Linked DNA regions of Arabidopsis thaliana. The protein of the gene in region 2 interacts with the protein of the main gene of each other region in a pairwise test. Each region holds a gene or a part of one and is shown on either strand. Other genes may lie near its edges.

Region 1 (3,757 bases), on a different chromosome or scaffold from region 2:
GGTGAATTTGGAGAACCATCGAGACCAAGATCCTTGCAAACCATCGCGACACTTTGGGACAAGATTTCAGAACCCATTTTGATCCGAACTCTGATCGGCTTATTATGAGGCAAATCATTGGCTGGTGTTCTTGCATTTCCTTTATTTATGGGAACTTTTCCTGGAGCTTGAGCCAAAAGAGATCCTGAAGTTTGATAGTTCTGAGGATCCTGATTTCTTACTAGTTTACAAGATGTAGCAGGGGGTGACTGAAACTTCTGAACCACATTCTGCGCAAACAATAATTCATAAGTACTCATAATTAAACTACTTAAAACACTGAGGAAGAAAAATCACTAAAAGGTCCAGATTCCTTCAAACAAAAACAACAAGGTAGTTTCACTACCATATTTTCCTTTTATCCTCACATGGAATTGAGAATTGTTTCTCTCATACCTTCCCGGGTAAACTGTTGGAAATTCTTTGTACAGCATGATTCCCTAGAGAACTCCTTTGACATGATGGTACAGCCGGCAAACGTTTGTAAGTGGGCAAAAATGATCCATAGTCAAAGATCTCCGGACCTGACCAACCATATCATTCAACAACGACATTTCATTTCAAAACAAATATCTCACTAACACCAATTTAATATTACTTACCAAACCGGTCCCGGGCTTCCTCTCCGAAACCTTTTTGCAAGTGGCCAAGTACATTCTGTACCTTCTTGTCCTTAGATACACAAAGCAACAAAACTTGAGCACATATATAATAAAACCACCAGGCAAAGAAAAAGACTTCGACACACAAAGATACAAAAACAGAGAAAAAATGAGTATCCACACTATATATTCTTTATTGAGATACATAAAATTGAGATTTCATATGCTACAAAAGACAGACACATAGTTCTCTGTTTAAAACTCAAAACTCAGTAGAAACAAGCAAGATTCATAGCAATTGAAATATCTTATTAAAGGTATATCTCCTCCAACTAAACTAAGATGCACAAAACTTAATCATCATTGGCATTATAAACACAGAGTACTGTACTATTCATATGATCTTAACACTTCCAAAACATAATCAGAAATTAAGCATCACACAAAGATCAACAACGGCTTCACATAACACCACACAAAAAAGATCATTTAATAATGAGAAAAAAAATCACAAACAAGAGAGACTCACAATGTAAGAGAGATCAACGTCAAGATCAACAACAGCTTCATCAGAAGAACAATTCATCTCTCCTTCTTCAAGCTCATAATCCTCTCCCATCTTCTAAACTAGTAAAACCCTAAACATAACCCAATTCCAAACCCTAATAACTACTACTACTTCCTAAACCCCAACACTCACTAACTCTGCCGCCACCAAACCGTCTCGAAAATCCAACATTGCCCAAAACAATCTCAAAACACACAAAGTTTCAAATCATAAACACTTAGATTATCCCCAAAAACCCTAAATTTGTTCAATCTCCAAAGGACAATCTAGATTGTTGTTAAAACGCGAAATTAATCGCTTAATCACGTTTATCAAAAACTCAACCAAACTCGTTTGATCAAAAGACGAGAAAGTTGAAAAGGAAGATTCGATCACTGTGATCGTCTCAACGGCGGCGAAGAGCAGCGTTGAGGGTTTAAGGAAGATTCGGCGGCAAGTTGGTTTTGCGTCTCCGATTTTTTTTGCAGACAAGACGCTATGTGTTGAAGAGTGTTTAGTTTTGGAGGGTTCCTTTCGTTTATGGTTTAATCATTAATTAATTAATTATAAACAACTTTAATTTTTCTATAATTCGTATCTCTCATTTATTAATGCTTGAGAAATAATTTACATTTTGCCCCTTATATTTCTTAGATTTTATCGGATATTGCTTAACAGTTTAGAAATGAGAGATACGAATTCATGACAATAACGAATTGTGGATTTTGTTCCTAAGTTCGCTAAATAGGTTGCATGATACCACACTTTAATTATTATGTATATATTTATGTATTTAATAAAATATAACTTGTTATATGTATTACTCTAAACACTATCTAATCTATATATACATTTTTGTAGTCATTTTATGAAATAAATCCTGCAATTGGAACTTATTTACAATGGCTGCCACTGACTTATTAAATGCAAAAATTAACTACCAAATCAAAGCAAATCTTATTCAAAAGAATATGCTTTTATTTCATGGCCTAATTATTTTTGCCAAAATGGTTAAAATATTTAAAAATTAAATAACCATTTGAAAGAAAACTTTAAATTGATTTAAATTATAAATCTTTTAATAAAAATATTATTAAAAAAATAGAAAAATAATTTCACCGAACATGATTAGATAGTAGGAATAGATGGTAGGACGTGTTTATAATATTATAATATATAAACTTTATAATAATTAAATAACCATTTGAAAAAAAACTTTTAAATTGATTTGAATTAATATTTTTTAAACTAAAGTATTATTAAAACAAAAATAACAAAATAATGTCTAATTTTACTGAACGGGGTTAGTGGTAGGACGGGTTTGGTCGATAGTATTACGAGACGGTATACCACAAGTGAAATCTATTAGATATGTTTAATTTCAATGTGCAGGATTAGATGGTATGACGAGTTTTGATCGATAATAATACGAAACGATATACTACGGATGAAATCCTAGATATAACAACTAAAATCTATATATACATTATCTTAAACACTAAACAAAGCAAACAATATTAATAAAACAAATATTTACATATACATTTTATATAACAAATTTTATTAAAAACCTAGCCCCGCGGTATACCGCGAGTCAAAATCTAGTTCTATATATACAGTAGTAGGGCACTAATCCGATCTTTAACTCATATACTTATAGTCAATATCACATATACAATTGTTTCTAATAAAACTCTAGCTCGTTGTAGACCATGTCTAAATTGGATAAACAGTTCTATATATGTGTAATCATAAAAAAAAAATTCTAGTTTAAAATGGTTGTATTGTAGTTAAGTGCATTAACTACGTTTACAAATGTCAAAAAGGCTAGTCGTAAGTTGTTACCAAATCCATTTTCGGATTGCAAATTGTGCAGATTGGTTGCATGATACCACTCTTTTTCTTCTACAAATTTAATATAATTTTCATATTCTCTTTTTCTTCTACGAGTTAATATAACTTTCATATTCTCTTTTCTTTCTACGAATTTAATTCTTTGATATTTTATTACTATCTTCATCTAAGATTTTGATCTTGCTTTTTTTTTTCTTTTGCTAAATTTATTTTATTATAATTGATTAAACTTTAATGCATAAGTTTGAACTTTAAATAGTTTTTTCTATAGACTAAACTTTTTTTATTTTCTTCCAATTTCACCTTACTTTTTTGAAACCACAATTAAACCCCAATAATGATTTGTCCGGTTGTCGCTTGTGATAGCAGGGCTGCATGTGAGTGCGAAGTTTCTGCTACAAGCATCAGAGTTTAAAGATTGGTTAGTCTATATATAAATACAGTTGAATATAATTGGTCGGAATTTTATCACTAATGCCACTAACTCAATAAAATTGTTCATTCATACCCTTCCACGTTTTTTATTTTAATTTTAGTTTATTTTAAATCAAAATTTATATGAAAAATCCAAAAACCCTTAACCTAATCCATATATAACGTATGCCTGCCACTTCTTTCTTTGCCAACTTAAAATAAAACACTGCCTCTTTTTTTTCTCTTTCACGTTTCTCCTCTTTATTCTTTTAGACTTTGTCTCTTTTCTCTCAAAATCAAT
Region 2 (3,757 bases):
TGAGTGTGCACGGGGATAGCGATCAAACTCATCATGTGACGGATGGGAAGGGCTTCCACGTGTGTATGATTCTCTCGGATAGAAAGGCATGTCAGGCCGAAGTTGTTCTGTCACATGTCTCCTCCCTTGTCTGCCAAGGCGCCCTCCTGGTCCCTCTAGCTGTAGAGACCTGTTCTGATGCCGCTCGTTGTATGTGGTAATCCCATTGCGCCTATTCTCAGAGAAAGGGGAGGAGGAACTAGCGCCTTGCTCCTTATACCCAGGGTATCTATGCATCTCAAATTTGCCTGATCTTATTTTCTGAAGAGCATTCCATTGTTCGTCATCATCGAGAAGTTGGCCTTCCCTTTCGTCAGAGGAAGACTCACTCCCATCATAAGCAGAAGAAGTCTTGTTTGCAGGATAATCAAGTTGGCTTTGCTTCTCTTCAACAGGGGAAGCATCAGGTGAGATCTCAGCATTGCCAGATGAATTACTCGCTCTTGCAGCCACCACATCATAAGCAGAAGGAGTCTTGTTTGCAAGAATGTCAAGTTGGCTTTGCTTCTCTTCTACGGGGGAAGCATCCGGTGAAATCTCAGAGTTACCGGATGGATTACTCGCTCTTGCAGCCACCACATGATCAACGCTCAAGCTTCCAGAGCTAGATCCAGATCCTGCAGCTTCTGCTACGGTGTTCATCATATGAGACTCCAATCTGGAGTTGTCTTCTCTTTCATTCTTCTCAGAATCACCAAGTGAACATTCCTGCTCTTGAATTTCATTTGTCCCATCTCCATTAGATAACTCTAAGTCATCAAGCTCCTTCTCCGTAGACTCCATGGATGCATTCCTACCTTTCTCATACTCTTGGTCCACGGAACGACCTGGAGATGACGGCAGAACCGTGTCCTGCCCCGAGCTGCTGGACACATTGTTGGTTTCAGGTACGCTTTGCGGCTCATTGGCTTGAGCCCTCTCTGTCTCTCCTGCACTTGGTGTACTGCTTGGAGCAATGTTCCGCCTTTTCGCTGAATCAAAGAAGCAACAACCAAATTTAATAATGAAAGAGATCATGCCACAAAACACAACTGGTTTGAGCTCAGACATCCAAACAGATGGACAACCAGGAGTAGAACAAAGCCAGATTCAGGGACAGAGTTCACATTATAATCAGAGGCAAAATCGAAATGGAAAGAAAGTTACCTTGAAGAATGGCGGAACAACCACCGCACTGATAAACAGGAACATCTTCGTCTTCCTGTAGAATCTTCAAGCACTTGGGACACCTCACCAACCGAATTTTCTGACCCGTCTGGCTCGCCATTGTTGGTACCAAATTTCAAAGACTTAACTCTACTTTTGTTATTTTTGGGTTATAACTCTACCTCATTAGTTAGAGAATCATCATCAACAGAACCCAGAACCCTAATAAACAGAGAGAGAGAGAGGAACCAAAGTAAAAGATTGAAACTTTGTGAAGTTCTTTAAAAGAAAATGGGAGAGGAGACCAGAGGAAGAAGGTCAACGCGGTGTGACTTTTAAGGAGGAGAAATGGTATAACCCGGGTCTGGTCTGAGAGCTGGTTACGGATCCGGGTAGAGATGAAAAATGGCGAGAAGGAAAAGATTACATGATTCAAGAAGCCATGAAAATTGTGTAAGATCCTCCACAGAAGAATCAAAGTAAAACTCTTTGCAGAGAGTTATTATAACTCGAGGGATTGTGGAAGAATAAACCCAGAAGTTGAAGATTTTATAGAGAGAGAGAGAAAGAATGAGATAGAAATAGAGAGGAGAATTTCTTGTCGTGGGGGCGAAGTAGAAGAAGAAGAAGAAGAATTGAGAGAACAGAGACAAAAAAACAAAAACAAATCGTTGGACAGACAGTTTTTTTTTTTTTTTTACTATGGTTTCTCTCTTTTCTTGTTTTTTTCCTCTGAGAAAAGTCTCTCTTTTTCCGTGTCTAAAAAGTTTTTTCTTTTTAATATCTCTTTGAGGAATTTTTTGGTATCTTTTTTCATTCTTGCAAGTCAATTAGAACATCAACGACTCGTTCTCTAATCACTATTCTTTCTTAAACAAAACCCAGTCTGTTGTTGATCTTTTCAATAAACAATATTGGCCCAATTTTTTTCTAAAGAAAGCATCTGCAACAGAGCTTTGTTAGAAGAATTAAGTAGAGGAAGATAAGAGAAAGAGTAAATTGGGTTCAGCTAAATAAAAATTTGGATAAAGAGTTATAAATGGAATGGTGTTGTTAATGTCGGCGCCTGTTTCATTTATTTTGGATAGAGAAATTTTAGCCCCACTACTACTTCCATTTTTCTCATTTATTGATCCCAGTCCTTTTTTTCTTACTTTTTACCATTACCTTCTTAAATATTTCCTAACATTCGAAGTTTGAATATTCCGGTAAATGACTAAATGTTGCCAAGGGAAATTAAATTACCGTGAATGTTGAAATGAATTGGGTTCCACATATTTATTTCTAGGACCTGACAAAAAGCATAATGATCATATGTTTTTCGTATATATATTTATATCACTGGTCGAATTTAACGAACTTTTCATTTTTCTAATGAGAATTCACTAGCCGTGTGAGTGTTTTCAATCACTTTTATTTATAACCAGACAAGTTGAGTCTTTGGTTCATAACCTTTTTAGGTATGAAACCAGTTTTCAAATATAGCACCTACAAAGAATTTGAAATTGATAGCAACGTAACAAAATATTAATCTTCAAATTGGTTCATAAAGTTTTAGGGAACTTGTGAGAAATAAATGAATAAAAGTTTTGTAGGGCTATCTCAAGTCAAATAGTATATATTAAGTATTAACGTACATGTATATCACATTATTTTTTAACGATATGAAAAAAAACTAAGGTAATGGTCGACAGACTCGGTCTTTTATCGTTTTGTGCTGTCTAGTTTCTCTACTTTCTAGATTATCGTTTTGGCTTTGTGATTCTGTAAAAGTCAACCTTTGTTGTGGTGTCCTATTTCTTTGTAGACTTAATTAGAGGTTGCTTCAATATTTGTTTTCTCTGCACAATCCAATGACTAACGGGATACGATTCACAAAACGAATCAAATCAAATCAAGTTCAATACCATTCGAGTCTTCTTCTTCACAGATTACAAATTCGATTATGCGTTGACTCTTTAATTGAGTCAATGGTTTGGACCACTACATGGTTTGTAAATGTTTATTTCTATTTCAAATCGCTAGCTGTTACCTAACATTCAGGACATGAACAAAAACTATCTTACTAAAAAAAAGTCAAAATTAAAGTTTCAAATGTATAAAAGATAATATTGGAGGTCAACTCCCATTTGACAACATTCATATATAGTTATAAATTGATTTTGTTTTTCTATTTACTGTGTTCCCATGATGTTTCGTGAACACATGAAGTTATGGTATTGAATAGAATGGATTTTCTTTTAGTTTTTGGTTTATTCTACAGAACAAGCTCTTGAAATAACTAAAAAATTCACTAACTAAAAACTTGTGATATATACCATGCTGGTTATATTCGCACAACGATTGCAATCATAATTGGCTACTATAGACGATTTAATTGATAAGAATATTCAATTATTCTACCTATGCTTTGGAGAGTCTATTTCTTTTTACTTGAAAATTTCCGATTATAAATAAAGATAGACACCTCAAAGCAAAAAACTATTCTTTTACACCTGAAATTCTTTAATACATGTCTTTAATTAATAATAGATTCCATATGAAAGAATTAAAGAAAGAAAAAGGGCCCATA

The links.
Region 1: the proteins of AT5G05190 (region 2) and AT4G15730 interact in a two-hybrid assay, tested with the Arabidopsis thaliana proteins (one large-scale study listed by BioGRID).

Annotation. Positions count from the first base shown.
Region 1 is NC_003075.7:8,955,955-8,959,711, forward strand, and holds the start of AT4G15730 (CW-type Zinc Finger), read right to left. Parts: upstream 1,712-3,757; 5' UTR 1,261-1,711; coding exon 1,171-1,260; intron 712-1,170; coding exon 642-711; intron 564-641; coding exon 436-563; intron 270-435; coding exon 1-269.
Region 2 is NC_003076.8:1,539,402-1,543,158, reverse strand, and holds the start of AT5G05190 (hypothetical protein (DUF3133)), read right to left. Parts: upstream 1,942-3,757; 5' UTR 1,307-1,941; coding exon 1,186-1,306; intron 1,011-1,185; coding exon 1-1,010. UniProt on the Arabidopsis thaliana protein: Plays a negative role in salicylic acid (SA)-mediated resistance to powdery mildew (e.g. Golovinomyces cichoracearum). May modulate plant immunity by regulating the relocation of EDR1 by interacting with CHC2 and modulating endocytosis.